Linked DNA regions of Callithrix jacchus. The protein of the gene in region 1 interacts with the protein of each later gene in a pairwise test. Links are inferred from orthologs where the notes say so. Each region holds a gene or a part of one and is shown in the gene's direction. Other genes may lie near its edges. The genes, in order: DAXX, BTBD6, PARK7, ETS1, TCF7L2, MX1 and FAM9B.

Evidence for each region.
Region 2: the proteins of DAXX (region 1) and BTBD6 interact in a two-hybrid assay, tested with the Homo sapiens proteins (2 studies listed by BioGRID and IntAct). The link is inferred for Callithrix jacchus from reciprocal best matches to the Homo sapiens genes DAXX and BTBD6.
Region 3: the proteins of DAXX (region 1) and PARK7 interact in binary tests that used the Homo sapiens proteins (3 or more experiments, as listed by UniProt). The link is inferred for Callithrix jacchus from reciprocal best matches to the Homo sapiens genes DAXX and PARK7.
Region 4: the proteins of DAXX (region 1) and ETS1 interact in binary tests that used the Homo sapiens proteins (3 or more experiments, as listed by UniProt). The link is inferred for Callithrix jacchus from reciprocal best matches to the Homo sapiens genes DAXX and ETS1.
Region 5: the proteins of DAXX (region 1) and TCF7L2 interact in binary tests that used the Homo sapiens proteins (3 or more experiments, as listed by UniProt). The link is inferred for Callithrix jacchus from reciprocal best matches to the Homo sapiens genes DAXX and TCF7L2.
Region 6: the proteins of DAXX (region 1) and MX1 interact in a two-hybrid assay, tested with the Homo sapiens proteins (2 studies listed by BioGRID). The link is inferred for Callithrix jacchus from reciprocal best matches to the Homo sapiens genes DAXX and MX1.
Region 7: the proteins of DAXX (region 1) and FAM9B interact in binary tests that used the Homo sapiens proteins (3 or more experiments, as listed by UniProt). The two-hybrid records come from large-scale screens. The link is inferred for Callithrix jacchus from reciprocal best matches to the Homo sapiens genes DAXX and FAM9B.

The regions. Positions count from the first base shown.
Region 1 is NC_133505.1:41,560,895-41,563,006, reverse strand, and holds the end of DAXX (death domain-associated protein 6), read left to right. Parts: coding exon 1-140; intron 141-295; coding exon 296-773; intron 774-951; coding exon 952-1,174; intron 1,175-1,372; coding exon 1,373-1,432; 3' UTR 1,433-1,612; downstream 1,613-2,112. UniProt on the Homo sapiens protein: Transcription corepressor known to repress transcriptional potential of several sumoylated transcription factors. Down-regulates basal and activated transcription.
Region 2 is NC_133509.1:140,102,195-140,106,419, forward strand, and holds BTBD6 (BTB/POZ domain-containing protein 6), read left to right. Parts: upstream 1-1,425; 5' UTR 1,426-1,610; coding exon 1,611-1,984; intron 1,985-2,052; exon of another isoform or gene 2,053-2,060; coding exon 2,061-2,151; intron 2,152-2,254; coding exon 2,255-2,373; intron 2,374-2,510; coding exon 2,511-3,543; 3' UTR 3,544-4,028; downstream 4,029-4,225. UniProt on the Homo sapiens protein: Adapter protein for the cul3 E3 ubiquitin-protein ligase complex. Involved in late neuronal development and muscle formation.
Region 3 is NC_133508.1:45,845,144-45,848,643, forward strand, and holds part of PARK7 (Parkinson disease protein 7), read left to right. Parts: intron 1-337; coding exon 338-439; intron 440-3,500. UniProt on the Homo sapiens protein: Multifunctional protein with controversial molecular function which plays an important role in cell protection against oxidative stress and cell death acting as oxidative stress sensor and redox-sensitive chaperone and protease.
Region 4 is NC_133511.1:28,281,487-28,285,510, reverse strand, and holds the start of ETS1 (protein C-ets-1), read left to right. Parts: upstream 1-1,224; 5' UTR 1,225-1,332; exon of another isoform or gene 1,333-1,341; intron 1,342-4,024. UniProt on the Homo sapiens protein: Transcription factor. Directly controls the expression of cytokine and chemokine genes in a wide variety of different cellular contexts. May control the differentiation, survival and proliferation of lymphoid cells.
Region 5 is NC_133513.1:105,892,379-105,896,502, forward strand, and holds the start of TCF7L2 (transcription factor 7-like 2), read left to right. Parts: upstream 1-1,324; 5' UTR 1,325-1,837; coding exon 1,838-2,026; intron 2,027-2,288; coding exon 2,289-2,355; intron 2,356-2,558; coding exon 2,559-2,683; intron 2,684-4,124. UniProt on the Homo sapiens protein: Participates in the Wnt signaling pathway and modulates MYC expression by binding to its promoter in a sequence-specific manner. Acts as a repressor in the absence of CTNNB1, and as activator in its presence.
Region 6 is NC_133522.1:47,284,102-47,286,622, forward strand, and holds part of MX1 (interferon-induced GTP-binding protein Mx1), read left to right. Parts: intron 1-522; coding exon 523-771; intron 772-2,521.
Region 7 is NC_133524.1:9,247,216-9,251,307, reverse strand, and holds the start of FAM9B (protein FAM9B), read left to right. Parts: upstream 1-1,292; 5' UTR 1,293-1,396; intron 1,397-2,128; 5' UTR 2,129-2,194; coding exon 2,195-2,285; intron 2,286-2,770; coding exon 2,771-2,891; intron 2,892-3,070; coding exon 3,071-3,102; intron 3,103-4,092. UniProt on the Homo sapiens protein: May play a role in meiosis.

The DNA.
Region 1 (2,112 bases):
TGAGGAAGAGGAGGAGGAGGAGGAGGAGGAGGAGGAAGAGGAGGAGGCCACAGATTCTGAAGAGGAGGAGGATCTGGAACAGATGCAGGATGGTCAGGAGGACGATGAAGAGGAGGAAGAAGAGGAAGAGGAAGAAGCAGGTAAGTCAAGGAAACATTATCCACACCTGTCATTTCTGTTTTCTTAGGCATAAGCCACCTGTTTGAGACCTTTTCCTTCCTCCTCCTAGTGTCCTCTCAGCAGTATTTTTTCCCCTCATTCTCAAGCTACCCCCTCTCCTTTTCTTCTTTTCCAGATAAAGGTGGAGACAGGAGCCCTGTGTCTTCACCACAGATCTCTACTGAAAAGAACCTGGAACCTGGCAAAGAGATCAGCAGGTCTTCAGGGGAGCAGCAAAATGAAGGACTCACAGTGTCACCATCATTACTGTCAGAAGAACCCCTGGCCCCCTCCAGCATAGATGCTGAAAGCAATGGAGAACGGCCTGAGGAGTTGACCCTGGAGGAAGAAAGCCCTATATCTCAGCTCTTTGAGCTAGAGATTGAAGCTTTGCCCCTGGATACCACCCCTTCCTCTGTGGAGACGGACATTTCCTCTTCCAGGAAGCAGTCAGAGGACTCCCTCACCACTGTTTTAGAGAATGGGGCAGGCATGGTCTCTTCTACTTCCTTCAATGGAGGCGTCTCTCCTCACAACTGGGGAGATTCTGGCCCCCCCTGCAAAAAATCTCGGAAGGAGAAGAAGCAAACAGGATCAGGGCCATTAGGAAACAGGTAATAACAACAGGAGGAGGAAGAGGGAAGGAGGAGGAAGAGTTCCCTGAAAGGAGGGATTGCAGGGGACTTTCGGAGAGGAATATGGGGGAACTGAGTCTGTTGGGAGAGACTGGACTGTTTCCCTCCAGCCTCAGTCTTCCTGTACCCCTCCACATATTTATGTTTCTGTTCCTAGCTATGTGGAAAGGCGAAGGTCAGTGCATGAGAAGAATGGGAAAAAGATATGTACCCTGCCCAGCCCACCTTCCCCCTTGGCTTCCTTGGCCCCGGTTGCTGATTCCTCCACAAGGGTAGACTCTCCCAGCCATGGCCTTGTGACCAGCTCCCTCTGCGTCCCTTCTCCAGCCCGGCTGTCCCAAACCCCCCAGTCACAACCTCCCCAGCCTGGTACTTACAAGGTAAGAAGGGGAGGCTGGGTTTCCTCTGATAATTTGTTCTCTTTCATTGTCTGTTTCAGCTGCTCTGTCTGAATATTTCACCCTCCACATTCTCTGTCTCGCTTTTTCCCACCTACGTTTTATCCTCTAAATCCTCCTGTCTGTTTCTTTTCCCCTGTACTCCATATCTCTCTGACTCTGTCTCTCACTTCCCTGCAGACGAGTGTGGCCACACAGTGTGATCCAGAGGAGATCATCGTGCTTTCAGACTCTGATTAGCTGCCTCCCCTTCTCCCTGCCTCCAAAATGTTTTGGGATAGCATTTGGAGGATGGTGGGAAGCAGATGACTGAGCAAAGGATGGACTGAGCTAATCCCCTGTTGGTGTTTCTTTTAAAAAAAAAAAACTTAAGTTTTACACAGAAACATTAATAAACAATAAACTTCTTTTCTTATTGTATCACTGTCTTTTCCTTCTGTGGTCATGGATTGGCATTAGCTGTCCCTTTCCTTGCTCATGGTTTGCCCGATGTTCCCGGGGTAGTCCTGATCTGTCCTTTCTAACCTGGTCTTTTTTTTTCTTTCTTTTTTTGTGTCTCATCTTATCACCCAGGCCAGAGTGCAGTGGTGTGATCACAGCTCACTGCAGCCTGGACTTCCCGGTCTCAAGTGATAATGCCTCAGCCTCCCCAGTAGCTGGGACTACAGGCACGCGCCACCACACTTTGCTAATTTTTGTCGTTTGTAGTTTTTGTAGATACGGGGTTTCGCCATGTTTTTCAGGCTGTACTTTTTTTTTTTAAAGTGCTTCAGCCGCCTTAACGCACTTTACTTTTTCAGTTCTTGCAGTTGGAGTGAAAAAGCCAATGAGAGACCGACTCAAGGTTATTCGGCCAATCCAGGCCCGGAGACGGGGGGCGGGGCTTCAGGGGAAATGTCAGGAGCTAGGAAGGAGGCGAT
Region 2 (4,225 bases), on another chromosome or scaffold:
TGCACTCCGGCCGTTTGTACTTCTGTTGCTGACGGACATGTGTGGACTGTCTGCACTTCGGCCGTTTGTACTTCTGTTGCTGACGGACATGTGTGGACTGTCTGCACCCCGGCCGTTTGTACTCTCCTGGAAACTGCCTATGCCGTTACCTTTTTCTATGGAGACAGATGGCTGGGATGGAAACCACAGTAGCCAACCTGTCTTTGCCAGTGAGGTCCCACACTATGAAATCGCAGCTGTGGCCTCCGTGGGTGTGTCCTTGGCAGGCGCACCTACAGTTTCTCTTGGGACCTTCTGGGCCCTCGTGCATGCGCAGCTTTCCAAAGGGCTTAGCTGTGCCAAGTTACGTGCCCACCTGCAGCAGGTGATCTCCGGCAGCTCCTCGTCCCACCAACACTGGCATTACAAGTCCCAAGCTCAGCAGCCTGGGGCCGGGGGCCCCGTTCCCTGGAGAACTGATGACGTGTGCACCCTGGGCCCCTGCAGTGTCTGTGCACGTCCTTCACCGGTTTTTTAATTGGGTCGTCAGCCTTTTTCCTTCCTGACCTGTAGGCTCATCCATCCCAGGGTCCTTTGCTGAAAATACACCGTCTTCTGAAGGGGATTCTCCCAGGGACAATTACTACGACTGCAACCACCGCCGAGCCACAGATGTGTTCACTGTTTAGCCCAGGACCAGGGCGACGGGTGCGCCCACTGACCCGAGCTGCTGGCTGCATCCTGGGGGGTTCCCGGAGACGGAGGTTTTCAGCCTGAAGCCTGGGGTCCAGGAGGTCGCGGGTGCGTCTTCGGGAAGGAACCCTCCTGACAGCCAGGCCTCTGCAGCTTCGTCTGCACCAGCGGCGCGGCGGGGCCAGATGACACCGCCCCTGAAGTTTGGTCTCATCCGCAAAGTCAGCGCCACGCACCTCCCAGGTTTAGCCCCAGGCTGCGAGGCCAGAGGCCCCACGGGGAGCGAGCCACGACTGTGATCCACAAGCACAACCACGGAGGCGCCAGATCCTGACTCGCCCACCCGCACGCTGTGTGACCTTCAGCACGCGACTAACCTCTCTGTGCCCGTTTTCTTGAGGAAAATAGCAGCGCCTGCCCCTGTAAAGCGCTGAGACCAGAATGGGCCGCGCCGTCTGCGAGCGTTTGCTGCTGGCGTCCGTAGGAACGAGGAAGCCCGCCGACCGTCCGACACGCCGCGGCCAGAGGCACAGGCAAGTGGGTCCACCCGCGTTCCTAAAGCATCGCGAGCTGAAGAACCGGCGGGCGCAGGCTCCGCGGGGCTGGGGGCGTCGGGCAGCCTGCCAGGGCCGGGAGCCGCGTTATGCGCGGCAAAGGCGTCAGCGGCTCCGAGGCGGTGGGGTTTGGGGGCGGGACCGCGCGGCAGCGTCGTCGCGCGAGGCACGGCCCTGACGCAGCGTGACGCGTCCTGACGCAGCGTGACGCGCCGGCGCCGCGGCGGGTACGAGCTCGGGCGGGCGGGACGGCGCGGACGGCGCCCCCTGCGGCCGGGCCTGGCCGGGCTGCGCTAGGCTGGGCTCGGGCAGGGTCGCAGGGGCGGGGGTGTGGCAGGGGCGCGGGTGGCAGTTCCGCGGGTCGCAGCGCCGCCGCCGCCGCCCATGCTGCTGCCCCTGGCCTGCCTGCACGGCCGCGTCGCTCAGTGCCTGACCTCCCTGCTTTTGCTTGCAGAGCCGCTCCCGAGGCCCCGGCGCAGCGCGAGAGCGCGGGGCGCGGCGTCCACAGGCCCCGAGGCCGCCCCCGCCGCCCCGCCCGCGAAGATGGCAGCGGAGCTCTACGCGCCCGCCAGCACGACGGCCGCAGACCTCGCCAACAGCAACGCGGGCGCCACCGCGGGCAGGAAAGCCGGGCCGTGCAGCCCGCCCAGCGCCCCCGCGCCCGCGCCGCCGCCGCCCGCGCCCGCGCCGCCCACACTCGGCAACAACCACCCGGAGAGCCCGGGCTGGCGGTGCTGCCGCCCCACGCTGCGCGAGAGGTGAGCGCGCCCCCCCGCGGTCCCCGCGCGCTCCCGCGTGCGCGCGCGTCCCCAGCCCACGCCTCTACCTTTGCAGGAACGCGCTCATGTTCAACAACGAGCTCATGGCCGACGTGCACTTCGTCGTGGGGCTTCCGGGGGCGACCAGGACGGTGCCTGCCCACAAGGTGGGTAGCGGCGGCCCCTCTCGGAACGCGTGCCCCGCCCGCCGTGTGGTTGCCTTGCAGCCTGCAGGACAGCCAGGCTCACGGCGGCGCTTTCTCCTCCCAGTACGTCCTGGCTGTTGGCAGCTCGGTCTTCTATGCCATGTTCTACGGGGACCTGGCGGAAGTCAAATCTGAAATTCACATTCCAGACGTGGAGCCTGCAGCTTTTCTGACCCTATTAAAGTAAGTCCACTGTGTGCTGGGGAACGAGGGGTGGGTCCTTTCTAGGCAGCCTCCCGTGGCTTCGGAGGGGGACCCTGCAGGAGCTGATGGGCTCCTCACCTATGCCCAGCCCCTGACCCAGGCCCTGCTTCGCCTAGGTACATGTACAGTGATGAGATTGATCTGGAAGCCGACACAGTGCTGGCTACGCTGTACGCTGCTAAGAAGTACATTGTCCCAGCATTGGCAAAAGCCTGCGTCAACTTTCTGGAGACAAGTCTGGAAGCCAAGAACGCCTGCGTCCTGCTGTCCCAGAGCCGGCTGTTTGAGGAGCCCGAGCTGACGCAGCGCTGCTGGGAGGTCATCGACGCACAGGCTGAGATGGCCCTGCGGTCCGAAGGCTTCTGTGAGATAGACCGGCAGACACTGGAGATCATCATCACTCGGGAGGCCCTCAACACCAAAGAGGCGGTGGTCTTCGAGGCTGTCCTGAACTGGGCCGAGGCGGAGTGCAAGAGGCAGGGGCTGCCAGTCACCCCACGAAACAAGAGGCATGTTTTGGGACGAGCCCTCTATCTGGTACGAATTCCAACGATGACCCTAGAGGAGTTTGCCAACGGCGCTGCCCAGTCAGACATCCTGACTCTGGAGGAGACCCACAGCATCTTCCTGTGGTACACCGCCACCAACAAGCCCCGCCTGGACTTCCCCCTGACCAAAAGGAAGGGCCTGGCCCCGCAGAGGTGCCACCGATTCCAGTCTTCTGCCTACCGCAGCAACCAGTGGCGGTACCGCGGGCGCTGTGACAGCATCCAGTTCGCAGTGGACAGAAGGGTATTTATTGCGGGGCTGGGCCTGTATGGGTCCAGCTCTGGGAAGGCTGAGTACAGTGTGAAGATTGAGCTCAAGCGGCTTGGGGTGGTTCTGGCTCAGAACCTGACCAAGTTCATGTCAGACGGATCCAGTAACACTTTCCCAGTCTGGTTTGAACACCCAGTCCAAGTGGAACAAGACACCTTCTACACGGCCAGTGCCGTCCTGGACGGCAGCGAGCTCAGCTACTTTGGGCAGGAGGGGATGACGGAAGTGCAGTGTGGAAAGGTGGCCTTCCAGTTCCAGTGCTCCTCCGACAGCACCAATGGGACGGGGGTCCAGGGTGGGCAGATCCCTGAGCTCATCTTCTACGCCTGAGGAGCCCCGGGGGGCCGCAGCAGGTCGGAGAGAGAGTAGAGGGAATGTCAGATGCTAACTGCTGCCCGACACCATGCAAGCCACACTTCACCTTGTGTGTCTTTGGCATGCAGTCAGCTGAAGCTTGATTCTGGGAAGTAGACGCCTTTCCACACAGCCAGAGCCCAGGGAGTCCTGTCTTTGGCATGTAGCCAGCTGAACCTTGATTGTGGGAAGTGGATGCCTTTTCCACACAGCCAGAGCTGGGGGAATTGGGGTCTCAGGCATCTCTGGTGTGCTGGGGTGCATGTCTCAGGTGGAGGAAGATTTAGGGCACAAGGCAGGCCCCAAGATCCCATGCCACCTGCTTTGAGGGGCTGGATGTTCCTGCCACCGTCTTGGATTCTAAGTGGCTCCAAGCTTAACTTGAGACCTTCCCTTTAAATCTAAAATTGGCTAAGTCACTTAAAATAGTGGACTTGTGTAATAAAGGTTGTCTAAAATAACCATGTGTCAGTAATGACTACGGTAATTGTAGAGGGGGTGTTCTCTTTCTCAACAACAGAACAGCTCCTGCCCATCCCCAGGAGAAAACCTTTCATGCCGAACATGCTATATGGTTAGAAGCAAAGTGTGCCCCAGCAAAGCCCATCCGTCCCCCTGGGTCGCTGGCGCCTGTGGGCCACCACGGGAAACTAAAGGT
Region 3 (3,500 bases), on another chromosome or scaffold:
TTAAATATATTTAGCCAACGTATTAGTTTAAATTTGATACAGTTTTGGTGCAATATTTCCTGCCATGTTACTTTCAAACAGGGCAGCTGTGTAAATGTTACTCTAGCCAGGTGTGATGGCTCATGTCTGTAACCCCAGCTACTTGGGAGGCTAAAGCAGGAGGATCATTTGAGCCCAGGAGCTGGAGGCTGCGGTGAGCTATGATTATGTCACTGCCCTCTAGCCCAGGTGACAGGGTGAGGCCCCATCTCCTCCTATTTTTTTTTTTTTTTTTGAAGACAGTGTTACTCTTTATGTTTCAGTGTTCTTAAATATCATGATAATATATTTCTTGTAGATAAAGGTCACCGTTGCAGGTCTGGCTGGAAAAGACCCAGTACAGTGTAGCCGTGATGTCATGATTTGTCCTGATGCCAGTCTTGAAGATGCAAAAAAAGAGGTTTGTAATCCATACATGGAGTTACTCCTTCATACGGCTTCTTTGTTTCTTGAAATGTTTTTTTACTGTATCTAAGACTATTGTCAGCACAGACTCATTTTAGAAAATTATTTTGCTTGAATGTCTTCCCCTGACAAATTAAGAGGGTGAGGACTTTGTCTTTCTATTCTGTATCCATAGAATGTGGCAATCGCTTGATACTGAATGTACTAAGTGGGTGGCTGGGTGGGTGTGTGGCCAGATGGGTGGGTTGATGCTTAGCTTGATGGCTGCATTGTCTTCCCATCAGGATTCTTCCGGCTTATACAGGTGTCCTTGCCTCCTATTGCACATTTTTACCTGATGTAAATCAATTGCCACATTTCCTGTTTGTTTGTTTGTTTGTTTCTATTTTAGAGTCAGGGTCCTGCTCCATCCCCTAGGCTGGAGTCCAGTGGTACAGTCACAGCTCACTGCAGCCTCAACCTCCCAGGTTCAGGCAGTCCTCCCACCTCAATCCCCCAAGTAGGTGGGACTACAGGCATGTGCCATGCCTGGCCATTATTCTTTTTTCTAAAGCTACGCTTAGAGTTCTACTTTAGTTGTGTTCCTTTTTCAATATCTTTAGAATTACGGTTCTCGCCTTTAAGGACGGTGGACACTTTTCGAAGCTAGCATCCCTTTCCTCAAAACATGCTCCCCCACAGGTGCTTTTGCACACTCTGTCGTGGGCTCAGGGTGACAGGAGTGTGGACTGTGCCCTCTGGGAGCAGAGTCATGGTGAGAAAGGAGGTAGAATTGGCTCACAAATGGCTGGTTGTGCACTGCTGAGGAACCTAGAGTGTGGTTCCGTGTGCTGAAATGTCCTCAGATACATAGGAAAAAGTTTAATCCTTTTTAATAAGTTCAGATTTTTCATTACTGGATTGTAGAAAATTAGACTGTTGGTATTTAGATATAATTTGTTGAAATAAATTAAAAATGACAAGCAGGCCGGCTGCAGTGGCTTACACCTGTAATCCCAGCACTTTGGGAGGCTGAGGCGGGCAGATGACCTGAGGTCAGGAGTTCGAGACCAGCCTGACCAACATGGAGAAACCCTGTCTCGACTAAAAATACAAAATTAGCTGGGCGTGGTAGTAGGTGCCTGTAATCCCAGCTACTTTGAAGTTTGAGGCAGGATAATCACTTGAACCCAGGAGGAGGAGGTCGTGGTGAGCCGAGATCATGCCACTGCACTCCAGCCAAGGCAACAAGAGCGAAATTCCGTCTCAAAAAAAAAAAAAAGGAATGACAAGCAGAAGTAAATATTCTAGGCCAAGTGCAGTGGCTCACCTGTGATCCCAGCACTTTAGGAGGCCAAAGTGGGAAGATCACTTGAGGCCAGGAGTTTTGAGACCAGCCTGGGCAACATTTTAAAAGCCAGGCATGGGGATGCATGCCTGTAGTTCTAGCTACTCAAGAGGCTGAGGCAAGAGGATGACTTGAGCCCAGACAACTGCTTGAGCGCAGGAATTTGAGGACTGCAGTGAACTACTGCACTTCAGTGTGCCATTGCACTTCAGCCTGGGTGACAGAGCGAGACCCTGTCTCAAAACTAATAATAATTTTTTTTCATCTCTGTGTTTTTGTCATGTGGTGTCTGGGTATTTTAAAACAGTGGTTACCTTTATTTTCAATCAATAGATAGTAAGTGTATATATTCATGGGATACATGATGTTTCCATACATATGTATAGTGATCAGATCAGAGTGATTAGCACATCCGTCATCTCAAACATTTATCATTTCCTTGTGTTGGGAATGTTCAGTATTCTCCTGCTACTTGAAACTATATATGATTGTTAACTATAGTCATCCTACAGGGGCATAGAACACCGAAACTTATTCCTCTTATCTAGCTATAATTTTGTATCTTTTAACAAATCTCTCCCTATCCCCACTTTCTTCTATCCTCCCCAGCCTCTAATATCCTCTGTCCTACTTTTTACTTCTATGTGGTCAATTTTTTTTAGCTTTCACATGTGAGTGAGAACATGCAGTGTTTAATTTGCTGTTCCTGGCTTCTTTCACTTAATAGAATGTCCTCTAGTTCCATTCTTATAGCCACAAATGACAAGATTTCATTCCTTTTTTATGGCTGAATAGTATTCCATTGTGTATAAATGCCACGTTTTCTTTATGCATTCATCTGTTGTTGGAACTTGGTTGATTTAATATCTTGGCTAGTGTGACTATTGCTGCAGTGAAAAGGGCGTGCCAGTGTCTCTTCAGTAGGCTGATCTCTTTTCCATTGGATACATGCTCAATAGTGGGATTGCTGGACCACATGGTAGTTCTGTTTACTGAGTTTTTTGAGGAAGTGGTTACCTTTTGCATGCTTTTATTTTTCAGTGCAGATTCTAAAAGGAGTCAAACAAATTCTATACTTTACATATTTTCTTTTGAGTTTTGAGCTTTGCTTGGTTTTCCATCAATAGTAGGATGTTTATGGTCTTAAAAGTGATTCTGAGCCAGCCACAGTGGTTTACCCCTGAAATCCTAGCACTTTGGGAGGCTGAGGTGGGAGGATTACTTGAGCCCAGGAGTTTCAAAGACTAGCCTGACAACATAGCAAGACCCTGTCTCTACAAAAATAGAAAAATGAGCTGGCCGTGGTGATGCATGCCTGTAGTCCTAGCTACAGGGGAGGCAAAAGTAGGAGAGTTGCTTGAGCGCAGGAGTTCAAGGCTGTAGTGAGCTATATTGCACCACTGCACTCTAGCCTTGGTGACAATGAGGCCCTGTCTCTAAATAATTTTTAAAGTATAGATTGCACTAAATACATAATACATTTTTATTTTGTAATTTGTTTAATGACTAGATTTTTTTAAACCTCTTTTTAACATCCTAAAGTACAATACAAAATTTCCATTTTGTAATTTCAGGAAGTTTGAAATTGATTAGATTTCTAGGAATTTTTTTGAGGGGGGATACTAAAATTCTCCCCCGTTACATTTTTTAAAGTTAAAATGTAACTTTTTAAGTAAAAGGCACAAAAAAATTTTTTTTGACTTCATAAAGTTTTTTGTATTAATTTTTT
Region 4 (4,024 bases), on another chromosome or scaffold:
TAATTTTTTGTATTTTTAGTAGAGACGGGGTTTCACCATGTTGACCAGGATGGTCTCGATCTCTTTACCTCGTGATCCATCCGCCTCGGCCTTCCAAAGTGCTGGGATTACAGGCGTGAACCACCGCGCCCGGCCTACCATGCTGTTTTAACTGCATTGCCAACTTTATACAATGAAGGCTGATGGTGATGTTGCTCTAAATGAGTTATTAGATTTTCATGGACTTTCAGTTTGTATCTTCACTAAGAAGGGAAAGAAGCCAACTACAACAAATTTTAACTCCCACCTCCTACTCAAAGAAAATGGAACCTCTTAGGATACAAGTCTTAGATCAAGCAGTCAAATACTGACTTTCCAAAAAAAATTTTTTTTGTAATAACTCCATTCATAGAAATGAGATTATGGTAACATTCCTACCATAGACCTGAATATGTGAATATAAGATACTGTGTATTTTCACTTAGGACAAATATAAAATTTTCATATTGTTTACATTTCCCCTAAATGAGAAATGTATGAACACTTCTGCCCTTTTATTCCTACACCACAGACAAAGAGTCAGGGCTACTAAAGGTAACCTTATTTTAGAGATTGCCTAAAACCGTACTTACATAAAAAGGGGATTTCAGCTTTACTTTTCAGAAATCCCAAGTCCCTATCCAGTCAGCTCTCTTGCACAAAATTATTTTCTTTCTTTTAGAAAATATTGCATTTCACATCAAGTTATTAGTGAGAAACAGGAAGCCTGAGCAGGTGACTAGGTGATGGACGTCCTGTTTGCTGATAGTCTCCAGCTCTGTTTCTAAAGCAATCCCTTTCCCTTACCTGAGCTCTTGCCTAGGTTAGTGGAAGCTCCATTGAGAGAGTCAAGGAACTGGAAGCATGAATATTTACATATTCAGTAGAGAGTAAATCCATCAGTAAATGATGAGATGATAAGCAATGTTATCCCACTGAGCTAGTTCCCTTTTGCTCATCTCCCTCCCTGTTATTCCCCAAGGCTGAGTTATAGTCAGTTGAAACATAATTTGAAGAATAAAAAACAAGGTGTGATCTGGTGCCGCTACTGCCAATAAACACTGCTTTCCACCTAGACCGCTGAGCTTGTGCTAGTGGCTGCTGTCCTGGTGCCAGGGGCAAGAGGAAGAATGTCTTTTTTTTCCAGCTTTCCCTGGCTTGACCACACCCCCCAATTTAAGGAGGCAGCTCTATTAGAAACATTATGGTCTTTGCATCCTCCTAAGCTACTGAGCAGAGCATTCCCGCAGGTAGTTGGAAAGAGACCACAGACTTTGAGGGAAGCTCACTCAGGATCTGCTCTCCGGCAAAGTAGTAAGTGAGGTGTGTGTGAGTTTCTGCCTAAAACTTTTCAGTCTATTTTCCTTTTCCTGTTTAAAAAAAAATTTCTGCGGAATTAAGGAGCAAGTTGATAGGGACATTCCGGATACAAGTGTGTTTTTGCTTTCTCTTTTCTCATCTTTCTATATTCTCATTTAACTGTCTAACAATTTTCAAAAATACTTCCTAACCTCGTCAGAATAGTCTGAAAGCAAGACTATGTTTTTCAAAATGTTCCCTGCTTCTTAAAGCAAAACCATGCATGTTTTAGATACCCATAGACTACTTGTCAGAAACCCTGAATTTTTTTTTGCAAATTGGAGCACTTCCAAAGAAATAAAGCTGAAGTTGAATATGAAAATTTCTTTTTTTTCCTCTTTCACTCCTAGTAAGCCTATTGTGTTACTTTTTTTTTTTTTTTCTGTCTAGCAGCTTAATGAATTGCTTTTAATAGAGAGGAAATTGCTACCGGTTTGAATCTTGCAAGCAAAACTAACCTGTTTGGTGTTTTTAATCTGTCTTGGGACTGATTTGCAGTTGTCCAAGGATCTACAAGTTCTTAAGCCTGTTGTTGAAACATGGTGTGTGTGTGGCCAGGGCTTGTCTCAAAGTCAGGGAGGTGTTTCTTTTCCCCACTGTAGAGCTGGACTTCGTGGCAGGAGATGTCGATGGCAATTCCTCTCCATTCGATGATTTTATCTGGCTGTGACACTTTGTATGTGACTTCTCATCCACTATTAAAGGTCTCTGTTGCGACCTTTTAAAGTAGCGTTTTCTTCGGGCAAACTTAAAAGGTACTGGGTCACTGAAATCAATGCATTCTATTGCAGGTTTTCCTTATTACCTTTTGGATAAGTTTTCAATCTCAAGGCCATTTTTCTTCCTACGTTAGACCACTGCCATGAAACTGAGAAAAGAGATATTTGTTAAACAGCAGGAAATACCGAATCTAAAATGATAACTGGCAGCTCCATTTGATTTGTAAAATTACCGATACTATAACTCTTTCATCAGTTGTGGTTTTGGATTCTGTGGCCTCTTTTTTTTTAATCTGAAGAGAAAACCCTCGTGCACAGCTGTGGCCTGTGCACAAGGGCTGCAGGGTGGCCACTGCTGCTGTTGAGAGTCTCGCTCACCTGTTGTTCCTGAATGGAGGGAAGGGAGAGCTAATGCGTTAATGTCTGCAAAGTGCTTTGAAGATGAAAAGGTCTTTTCATGTGTTCAGCAGTGCAGTTATTAATATTAATATTTGAAGAAGCATGCTGCTTCTAATTGTAAATCAACTACTCCATCCTTGCCAACTCAGTAGTGAAATAACAAACAGTTCAGGCAGCCATGCAGCCTCTTCCGTCCTGGTTCCGCTGCTGAGGATGTGGGAAGCCAAGCTGAAAGCCTGATTATGGAGTGGGCATCGTTGCCTCGCAGGCTTCTTAAGTGGAGGTGCTAGTTGCTGGCTGTGAAAGGATGTCCTGATGCAGAGCCTGGGGGAAGCTGGTAAAGGATGGAATCCTTTGGTATCTGGCAGTCTGTGGTACTGGAGAACCAGCCAGAGCATGGACTTGAACCAGTGGCTGATCCCAGATGATAATGGAGTTTAAAGGCGAGTAGGGTCAGAACTTGAACCAGCGCTGGGTTGGAGTAGGGAAAGTGGCTGTGCACTTGGATTCTGTCAGTGATGAGCTTTGTAACTGAGAACAGTGATTGAATGTGACTGTAACTTATTCTCTTCATCTCTAAAAGGTAAACAATCATTTCCGCCCCGCCAGGTTTACAAAGATGAGAGAATAGAAGTAAACAGCATAGGGCTATGAAAAATCATAGTGCCAATGAGGTCAAGGACTGTCGGAAGTAATAATACAACAAACTGGGTGTGTGGGTGCAGGTCTTGTCACCTAGGGGAGGGTGAGACAGAAGGCAAAACACTGTGCAAACAAATAACCAACACATTTCTCTCTTTGATTGCACTGGTGAATTGCTTACCGATAACTAAGGTTCTGACATACCTTGTGATTTTATTTTATTGGTGAATGGATCTGTTTTCCACAGCGACTATCATTTTCTAATTACCATTTCAAAATTTCCAACTGTTCACATCAAACAGCAGAAGGGAATGATTACATCCCAGGAGCTGGAACCTCCCTCCCTCCCTCCCTCCCTCTCTCCCTTCCTTCTTTCCTTCCTTTCTTCCTCCCTTCCTTCTTTCATTCTTTCCTTTTTCCTTCTTTCTCTCTCTTCCTTCATTCTTTTCTCTCCCTCTTCCCTCATTCTGTTCTTTCCCTCTTCCCTCCTCCTTTCCTTTCTGTCCTTCGTTTTTTTCTTCATTATGAAATTCTAAAGTATTTAGCATTTGAGCACAATTAGTGTGGTATGCAGCAATTTAGTGGCATTTGAGGAAAATCTTGTAAGTTTCTTCAATCCTAGGGAAATTTAGATGTGAGGACATAACTTACTTTTTGTTTTCTCATCTCCTTTATCCCTGCTATACTGAAAATATAGCTTATCACAATACCCTTTTTAATATACATCATTCTCTGGTTATCATACTCGTTTTTCTTCACTTCATCTAAGGAAGGATACTCAGCCTTAATGTTTACTGAACACTTAGTATGTTCCAACACCCTTGCTGGGTGTTTTGCAGGTTCATTTAATCTACGATGAAGTTTTGAGGTGGGCCCTCCACTCTTGT
Region 5 (4,124 bases), on another chromosome or scaffold:
AGTCTACCTCTTACCGAACATCTACAAAAATGAATCTTCTTGCTGTATCACCCAGCAACACTGTGTTTTGGGAGCCGGGCCTTTCCTCTTTAACATAATCCCACTCCCCATTTTGTAGCAAATCAGTCTGCTCCTCCTCTAGTAACTAAAAGTCAACAAATACCTGCCTCAAGCCCCAGGTTTCCCATCTTCTCCCGGAGGTCTCCTAGCATTGGTTTGGTTAGCAATTTCCTGCCACAGCCACCTACATCTTGATTATTTGGTCAGTCTTTCGGGGATTTCATTTCAGAGCCCCTTCGAAAAAAACTGCAGCCCAACTGATCCCAGGGGCCCGGTGAACTTTCAGTTTTATTTTTCCCTGGCGGTGTTAACGCCCAAACTTTTCACCTCCGAAGTTTTCAAAAAGGACTTTGACTCTAGCTCATATCCTACCAGCTCCAACGTCAGTTAAAAAAAAAAAAACAAAAACAAAAAACCACTAAAACACCACTCTACATGTAAAAGAATCCTATATTTTTTCCTTAAGGATACTTTTAATGTCTCTGACATTTAGTATTTGTTTTTTGGATAAAAAGTCATTTTGGCATATTTATCCTAGTGGGACTTAACAATTCATGAAATGATTCACTACTAATAAACAAAAAAGGGAGGAGGGGGCCTCATGGGTTAATAGTTTCTTTCATTGTAGATGACCAGGAACTTTGACCAGCCCCTTCACTTCTCCAAGCTCTCTGAAAGTGGAGGGTTGATTTTTTCTTTTGACCACCTCTGTCGCATGCCGCCCAAGGGTGGCTGATTCTACTGTTGAATTAACCACCAAGCATCCCCCCCAAACCCCGCCCCCAGCCACCACTTTCTCACAATTCTACCCTTCCTTTTCCCCTCTCTTAAGACTTATTTCTAATATTACTAAACTGCACTTTTTCTGGGCCTCTCCCCATCCCCGCCCCTCAAGTGGGCTTTCCTTCCGCCTTCCTCGGCTCGGATTCCTGACTTGGTCGCCACCCCCTTCTCCTCCTCTCCCACCCCGCATTGTCTTTCTGAAACCGCCCCCTCCCGGAGCGAGTCCCTGCACCCTCGCCCAGAATCCAGGGCTCGCACACACTCCGCGCAGGCCGCTCCCCCTGCACACTCCTCCCTCCGTCTCCCCCCTGCTTCCCCGCCCCTCTCCTCCTCCTCCTTTCCCTCCTCCCTCTCCCGGCGCCCGAAAGGATCATTGTTAGCCGCCCCCGCCCCGCCCACCCGGGCTGTTTATTTATGCACACGTCACCGGGCAGGCCCCGCCCTCCGGCATCTCATTAAGGCAGTGTGTTCCTCTCGCCCTGTCAATAATCTCCGCTCCCAGACTACTCCGTTCCTCCGGATTTCGATCCCCCTTTTTCTATCTGTCAATCAGCGCCGCCTTTGAACTGAAAAGCTCTCAGTCTAACTTCAACTCACTCAAATCCGAGCGGCACGAGCACCTCCTGTATCTTCGGCTTCCCCCCCCTTTGCTCTTTATATCTGACTTCTTGTTGTTGTTGGTGTTTTTTTTTTAACCCCCCTTTTTTATTTATTATTTTTTCGCACATTGATCGGATCCTTGGGAACGAGAGAAAAAAGAAACCCAAACTCACGCGTGCAGAAGATCTCCCCCCCCTTCCCCTCCCCTCCTCCCTCTTTTCCCCTCCCCAGGAGAAAAAGACCCCCAAGCAGAAAAAAAAGTTCACCTTGGACTCGTCTTTTTCTTGCAATTTTTTTTGGGGGGGGCAAAACTTTTTGGGGGTGTTTTTTTTTTTTTTTTGGTTTTCTTCCTCCTTCATTTTTCTTCCAAAATTGCTGCTGGTGGGTGAAAAAAATGCCGCAGCTGAACGGCGGTGGAGGGGATGACCTAGGCGCCAACGACGAACTGATTTCCTTCAAAGACGAGGGCGAACAGGAGGAGAAGAGCTCGGAAAACTCCTCGGCAGAGAGGGATTTAGCTGATGTCAAATCGTCTCTAGTCAATGAATCAGAAACGAATCAAAACAGCTCCTCCGATTCCGAGGTAGGAAAAGCCCCTCGGGCTGGTGGGGTTTTTTATCTGTTTCCTGGGCTTGGCAAATGTTGCTGAAAGGGGAGAAATCGGGGCTAGGGGCGGCGGCGGGGCCCGGCGGGCGGCGTGTGCGTGCGGTGCCACCATTGCAAAAACTTGTAACCCTGTTTTTTCTACCCCCCCACCCCGACCTCGCCGATTCTTTTTCTCCCCGTTCTCCTCCCTCTGCGTGGCGTTTGCCCCTCGCCCTCCCCACCTCCACCCCTCCGGGAAGGCGGAAAGACGGCCTCCGCCTCGCTCCGAAAGTTTCCGAGATAAATCCCGAGAAAGTTTGGAAGAAGGTGAGTACGCCCCGCGCGCCCCGCAGCCGCCCCCCGGGCCGGCCGCCCGCCCCGCGCGCCCGGGCCCCGCGCCCCGCTCGGTCCGGCCCCGCGCCGGTCCGGCCGGGGCGCCCGGCCCCTCGGGGCACTTTCTAAAAAGTTTCTCCTCGCTCTCTCCCGCTCCGCGCGCCCGCCGCCGTCCTCTCGCCGCCCCGCCATGTTAGCGGCCAAGAGGCAAGATGGAGGGCTCTTTAAGGGGCCACCGTATCCCGGCTACCCCTTCATCATGATCCCCGACCTGACGAGCCCCTACCTCCCCAACGGATCGCTCTCGCCCACCGCCCGAACCGTAAGTGCCTCCGCGCCCGGCCCCCGCCCGCTGCCCGCCCGCCCGCGCCGCCCGCCGGGCCCTGCATGCGGCCCCTGCCCTGCCCCCTCCCCGCCTCCCCCTCCCCGCCTCCTCCCCTCCCTCCCTCCCCTCCCCCGCTCGCGGCCCAGGCGGCCCGAAACTCTCCAAACTTTTCTGCCTTTTGTGGACTGGATTTGTTTGCACTTCGCCACGTTCTTGCTTTCAGTTTGCTGCCTCGTGATGTTGGGGAGACCTCTCTTTCCAAGCAGGGCTTTGTTGTGGGGGGGATCCGAAGAACTTTTCTTTTGCGCTCTGGTTCCCCCTCCCCTTTTGGTGGCGGTGGTTGTTTCTTCACCCTGGGAAGATGACTGTGTGGCTCTTTCTTTGCTCTCTCTCCCTCTCTCTCCTTCTCTTCCTTCCCTCTTCTGTGGTGTCTTGGGCTTTCCCCGATTAACCCCTTGGCTGCCGCTGCGGGCCCTGAGTGACTGTGCTGCGCCCGACGCGCGGGCTAGAGAGTGGGTTTCCTCCAGGCGTTGGACTTGAGAACTGGCGAGCGCGCAGAGCCGGGGGCCTTGGAGAGGCGCCTTGGCTTTCTCTTACGGGCGGCTGTGTATTTAGCTTTCTAGTGGCGATCGCGGACTCTCGGCCCTCCTTCCTCCTTCCCCTGGAAGGTCACACTTCCCAGATTGGTCCCACCGCAAACTTGGGGGCTCTGAGGAGCCCTTTTCTTTGGCAACCTGCGGGGCCGCGGGCGCCCTGGGTGCTGTGGCGGGCTCGGCTGCCCCGTACGCTGGCTGCGGGCTCTCCTGGGCCGCGCGGGGCAGCGGGGCAGAGCGGGGCGGGGATGCCCCTGCGGCCCGGGTTCTGGGTTTGTGTGCAGCCGGATGGCCTCCTCGGAGCAGACTTGTATATTTCTAGGGAATTTTGGCGCCTTGGGTTGTATGGCGGGGTCTGCGCTCGCCAGCTTCCGTGTAGGCCCTTCGTGGGGCCCCCCCGGGGGGGGGGCAGAGACCAGGGTGTGCGGGCTCAAGGAGGTGCAGGGGCCGAGGGAGGCCGGGGCGCCTCTCCTTCCAGGGAGTGGGTCGCCGATCGCCGGCCAGCCAACTTTGGGGGCCCCAGGGCAGCGCGGGGTGCCGGGCTCCGGGGGCGCTTCCTGCAGCGTCGGTCCCGCGCCCAACCCTGACATTTGTTAAGACGGCTCATCCCCTCCCCCACCGGCCTCTGCCCCCTGCCCTCACCCTGAACCCCCTCCTCCTCATCCCTCCCTCTCTCTTCTAAGAAGCCTGGATTACGAATCTCTGGACGCAAGACGCGTTTGCGCCTGGCTTCCCGGGATTGTCATTTTACACCCTCTCCGGTTTGGTCCCCATACCCCTTATTTACACACACGACTTTTGTTTTTTCTTTTTCGGTAACTTTAGTTAGCAATTTGAGATAATGC
Region 6 (2,521 bases), on another chromosome or scaffold:
GAGAAGGATGTTTAGGATGCACCTGCCACTGTGCACCGCAGCCCTCATCAGGGCCTGGAGGGTCCAAGGGTGAAGTTTCTCCTCCCGGGTTTTGTCACCCAGTTTCTCTAAACCCCAGGAACATAAAACAGAATTTGTCTGACTTAAATCTGGCCCTCCTGCTCATTCCTGTGGATTTTCTGATGGTTATGACAATCCTTGCCATCAGGTATAAAAGCCCCTAAAAGAGAAAAGAAAGAAGCTGAGTTATGGGGCCTGAAAACAGAGCTCATGCAAGTCCCCAGGCCCCAGGATGGGGGTCCGGCCCATCTGTGACTCAAGCTTCCCCAGAAGTTCTGACCCTCAGCCAGGGCTAGAAACCCACCTTAGATACACCAGGGCATGGCCCAGAAGGCTACCACTGGGCAGTGGATAAATAAATATCAGGTGAGTAGTCTGGTATTTACAGACTTCTTACCTGCTTTCCTGTGACGTGGGAATTTGTGTCTGGGGGAAACTGAGCTGTGTCTTTCTTTTCCATAGTCCAAAATCGAAGACATTAGAGCAGAACAAGAGAGAGAAGGTGAGAAGCAGATTCGCCTCCAATTCCAGATGGAGCAGATTGTCTACTGCCAGGACCAGGTGTACAGGAGTGCATTGCAGAAGGTCAGAGAGAAGGAGCTGGAAGAAGAAAAGAGGTCCAAGAAATCCTGCTTTGCCATGGTTGTCGAGCCCTCCTCATCAGAGTCTTCCATGGAGGAGATCTTTCAGCACCTGATGGCCTATCACCAGGTACGCCTCCTCGGGGCTCAAGATGGCAGCTTCCATTCCATGCCTTTTCTTCAGTCTTGCTGTCTCTGTAGATGGCATGGTCAGCTCTGTCGTTCCCTTCTTATTAGCCTCCTGTATTAGTCCATTTTCACACTGCTGATAAAGACATACCCGAGACTGGGCAATTTACAAAAAAAGAGGTTTAACGGACTCACACTTCCATGTGGCTGAGGAGGCCTCACCACTGTGGCAGAGGCAAAAGGCGCTTTTCACATGGCGGCAGTGGCAAGAGAGAGAATGAGAGCCAAGCGAAATGTGTTTCCCCTTATCAGACCACCAGATCTTATGAGACTTATTCACTGCCACAAGAACGGTATGGGAGAAACTGCCCCCATAATCCAATTACCGCCCATGGGGTTCCTCTCACAACATGTGGGCATTATGGGAGTGCAATTCAAGATGAGATTTGGGTGGGGACACAGAGACAAACCATATCACCTCCATAGAAGTAGTTCAACCTCAGACAGACAGGTGGTGGCTTAGGGCCACTGACATCTGGGTCTGAGCCTCAGCTTTCTCTGCAAAATGATGTCTCCTCATAGATTCGAATGCATGTTCCAGGAGATGAGTGTGGATGATATTGATGGATTGCTAATGGGAAACCAACCTCTGCTAAAATAGTTTCAAGAGTTTTATTCTGAACCAAATATGGGGGACTGTGGCTCCAAGAACAGTCTCAAGAGGTCCTGAAGAAGTGTGCCTGAGGCTGGCAGGATGCAGTTTGGTTGTATACACTTCAGGGAGGCAGGAATTGTAGGTAAAATCATAAATCAATACAAGGGAGGGGTGAGTGTCCTCCGTAAAGAGGCAGGACACCTTGAACGAGGGGAGCTTCCCAGCCATCGGTGGGTCAGAAACTTTTCTGGCCACTGGTTGAAAGAGCTCAGCTTTGTCTACAGACTTGACATCAGTAGAAAGAAATACCTGAGTTAAGGGCAGTTTTAGAGGCCAAAGTCACATAGTTGACGACTCCAGGTAGCAGCCTTCAGAGAGAATGGATGGGAGATCTTTCTTCTCAGGCCTTAGAGGCAGCAGGCTCTCACTGAATCTCACCTAGTTTCAGGGACGCTCTAGCAGGGGAGAGGTCTGACTGCATTCGTGCAGAGTCTCTACAGGTGCAGACTTCCCCCAACAGCACATGGCAGGGCCATTTCAATCTGTTGGTCCTGTAACAGCCATTTGAAAATATGTCCAAAAGACATATTTTTAGGTAAAATATTTTTATTTCCTTTAGGGTCTGCTATTTGTCTTGTGATGCTATTGTTATAAGTAAAATGTTAATGCCACAAAAGAAATAGCACTTGAACATAAGTCCTCTCGGCAAGGCAGTTTCCTTCTATAGAAGGTGTGGCTCGTGGAGGGAGCAGCGGTGGCCACACGCTTGGACAAGGAGGGAGGGCTGCTTATGCCTGACGGGGGTCGCCCCTACTGCTGTGTCCTTCCCCTATTGGCTAGGGTTAGTCTGCACAAGCTAGACTAATCCGGACGGGCTATTTTAAAGAGAGCAGGGGTCCAAGCTGGAGGGGCAGGGTGGGTATTTCGGTGGGAGGGACTGTTATGGGCGGGTCAGAACAGGTAGCCAGGGATGACCTAGGTCAAAGCAGGTGACCGGAGCAGGTGACCAGGATGAGGCAGGATGGAGCTGGGGACCGGGAGAACAAATGTTAGCTACTGATTAGAACAGGTGGAGAAGTTTGTTTACCAGAAGTAC
Region 7 (4,092 bases), on another chromosome or scaffold:
GTGCTCTTTCTCGTTATATAGACATTAAAGGCTGTTGATTAGTTTTCCTGATGACTGCCTTTATAATTTCAATAACATAATGAACCTCTGTAGCTCGATTTACCAACTCTAGGCAGTATTTATTCACTCCCAACTCCAAAACAACCTTTACGACCTATTATAGAAGACTGGAGGTGGAAACAAGCTGAGTTAACGATATTAAGGCATTTGAGGGTGAAGGTTGTGGGATATGTCTGGAAAAGTCTGGAGCATGAGGGTTTGTGGGCAAGCCTGGGCAAGCCTGTGGGCAAGAAAAGTAGTGAGGAAACAAAAAAGGTTGTGGGCCTGGTGGGGTGGCTCACACCTGTAACCTCAGCACTTTGAGAGGCATAGGCAGGCGGATCACCCGAGGTCAAGAGTTTGAGATCAGCCAAAAAATAAAAATAAGAAAATTAGGCCAGGCGCAGTGGCTCAAGCCTGTAATCCCAGCGCTTTGGGAGGCCGAGGTGGGTGGATCACGAGGTCAAGAGATCGAGACCATCCTGGTCAATATGGTGAAACCCCGTCTCTACTAAAAATACAAAAAATTAGATGGGCATGGTGGTGCGTGCCTGTAATCCCAGCTACTCAGGAGGCTGAGGCAGGAGAATTGCCTGAACCCAGGAGGCGGAGGTTGCGGTGAGCCGAGATCGCGCCATTGCACTCCAGCCTGGGTAACGAGCGAAAACTCTGTCTCAAAAAAAAAAGAAAGAAAAGAAAAGAAAATTTAAAAAATTAGCAGGGCTTGGTGTTGGGAGCCTGTAATCCCAGCTCGTCGGGAGGTTGAGGCAGAAGGATAGCTTCGACCCGGGAGGCAGAGGTTGTAGTGAGCCGAGATTGCACCACTGCACTCCAACCTGGGCAATAGAGCGAGACTCAGTGTCAAAAACAGAAAACATAAAAGCGCAATCCATTGATAAAAAGGATGCAGCAGGGCATGTTGGAAGCACACAGGGAATGGAAAGGAGCCTGGGCACCACCCATAGGGTGATGGCCATTCCAGCCAAAGGGGCAGGGGTGGCTGGAACGAGTCCAGGGGCGAGATGCTAGGAGGCCTTGTCCACTTGGCCTCCATTCCGAGTCCTTGCATCCCACCCCAAGAGGAGGAGCCAGAAGATTGTGGGGATGGAGGCCCCAAAGGGCCACCCCAACTTCAGTCAACAGTAAGCCCTGGTCGGTCCCTTAAGGGGAAGGAGAGGCGTGGCAGCAGGGGGTTGGCCCCACACAGTCCTTCACCGGCATGCGCATGCGCATGCGCACTGAGCTGACCAATCAGTGAGGAGCGTGGGAAGCCAGGCCGGGTCTCTTTCTAAGACAGTCTCGTAGTGCCAGTGTCTTCTGTAGGTTCTGTGAAGGAGCCACATCAGGGGTCCCTCAGGTGACGCACTTGAGGCAGGGAGGTGGGAAGGTGGGCACAAGACCGTCTGGGAACCAGGGTGTGAAGAGCTGGGCGCCAGCTGACCTGTGAGGAAATGGTCCTGGGGTCCTCACCTGGGGCCTAGGTCAGGGCGAGGCACTGAGGGTAGACTGGGGTGGCTGGAGCAGGGAGGGAGCTGGAGCCACCTGGGTGGCCCCCCAGGACGAGGGAGTGTTCTGGGTGCTTCTGTAGGTGTGCAAGGGGGAGGGGCTGACGGTGCCGGGGAGGGGAGTGAGGCGGGCCGGGGGCGTTATGGGGGACGGTCTGAGTGGGTCTCTCCTGCCCAGCATCCTGTCAGAACAGGACACTTCAGGTCACTGGAGGTGCCCTGTGCATCCAGGAGAGCGAGTGGCAGTGTAGCTCCTGACATTCCTCTGGAGATGGCTGGGGAGATCCTGTGTCACTCCGCCGCCCTCCCAGCCACTCAGGGTCTCTTGGGGATCCAAGGGCAAGGCCAAACTCTGTCCCAAAGGCGCGGGTAGGATGCCTCAGAGGCCGTGGAGTTCAGGTGTGTGAGGCAGCTGTGAACTCTGCAGCCACCCCCGGGGACGGGCTGGACGGGCCAGGACGGGAGGGGACACTGGCATCTTCTCCCTCCCTCCTGCTCCCACAGGAGACTCGGGGAGGGCCAACCCCACCCATCTTGAACCCGCGATCCCAATGGCTTTCCTTTCTGACGCCTCGTTTCCTTAGCTTCCTTAGTCGTCTTTGCGCTCACCAGGTTCCGGGGTCGCCTCTAGTTTCCCAGGACGGCCAGCCATGGAACGCAGGGGCAGAAAGCACAGCAGGAGGGCTGCCAAGGCCCACTTGGAAGCTCAAGGTATGGCTGCCCAGGACAAAGAGCATGCAGGTAAACACAGCCCAAGGGGACCCGGAAGCAGGCGCACGCCCAAGGAGACGTCTGTCTGATCTCTGCTGGGGATCACACTGGCAACCCAAGGTCCCCGGCCTCTTCATGGCTTTGGAGTCCACTGTGCACGTGCTAAGACATCCCGGTTTTCAAAGCAGGCTCGAGGGCCTTAGACTTCCCACGGGAGGCTCCACCTCAGGCAGGGTTACAGGTGCTCTCAGAGTAGCTCTTCTCCATGGCTGAGGTCCTGGCGTCCAAGGAGTCTGACCTGTAGTGTGTCGTTTACTGGGACTTGAACCCCAAGGGCTTCCAAAAGTGCCTCCATTAAATGGTCAGGAGCCGGTGATTCCACGTATAGCCCTGCTTTAAAGCTTTAGTTGGCAGACAGCCAAAAACAAGTCCACAAACGGTACGTTTCTCCATGAAAAATGTCCACAACAGCGTCTTCCTCTAAAAACGGATTTGTCTTTTAAATTTTGATGCAGGAAAGGATCCAGTAATTGATGAACGTGAGGAAAGAAACCCTTTTACAGAAACAAAGGAGGAAGATGTAACTGCTGAGCAGGGGGAAAGAGAACCTCTTGATGAAACAGATGAATATGAGGGGTAAAGTGTGAAGTCACTGTTGTCTGTCGGATAGAGCCTTTTAGGAAAAGTCAGCTTTGGATCATGTCATCACCGTTCTAGTCTATGCAGAACATTTCACATAAGACATTTTTTCCCAACAAACACGACATTTTGTGTAGTCCTATGTTAAAATTTTGATGTAACTTTTTTTTTTATAGGGTTGATACCAACAAGCCAGAAGATATTGCAGGTATGCCTTAGGAAGTATCTGTAGTTTATGAAAATTGTTTTCAACGGTACAACTGTTACAGTAGGTTATGTGAATTAGTGGATGACAGACTGTCTTACATGCCTTCTTCTCATATGTAGCATTTAACTTAAGTATTTACCATAATCTGTTTGATAAATTTTTCTTACCTTTGTGATCATTAATGTGTAATGTAAGAATGCTTCTAACAATGGTGAATCGAGAGGGATGGCTTTTCTTTCATACACATGGAAAGTTAATTGTTGGGGGATATTAGAGGACATTGGAGGAGAAACAGCTCTATTCAATCCTTTCAGTGTACACAGATTAAGTCATATATCAGTTTTTTTTTCAATCTTTTACTTTAGGTTTGAGGGTACATGTACAGGTTTGTTAGATACATTGCGTGTCACAGGGGTTTGGTGTACAGATTATTTTGTCACCCAGGATTATAAGCATAGTACCTGCTGGGTGGTTTTCATCCTCACTCTCCTCCTGCCTGCCACCCTCAAGTAGGCCCAGGTGTCTGTTGTTCTCCTCTTCCTGTCCCTATGTACTCAGAGTGTTTAATAGGAGTTTTTCATCTTTCTAATTCAGCTATTCTATTGTCACAGCTTTCTGATTTTGTTTAAAAAAATTGAATTCTCGAAAATGATTTTCTATTATTATTCCAGCAATAAACTGTGTAGTAGAAAAGGAAAGACAACTTTTCTACCCAGTGGGAAACATGTCATTGGATCCAAAAACTCATACATTTTGTATAGGCATGTTACATGTTAGTTGCACTGACTGTTATAGGACCGTATTTTCAAAAAAGTTTGAGAAAATTTCTGTAGAGATGATGGAGACAATACTCTTATTTTTAAAAAGCTCAATTCAGTTTTCAGCTTTTCTATAGCGATAATACACATAAGCAGAATATTTGGAAAGCTTTGCTCGCTTGGTGGTGACAAAGTGCTGGTTTTGTGAGTTGCCTAATACATTGAGTGTGTT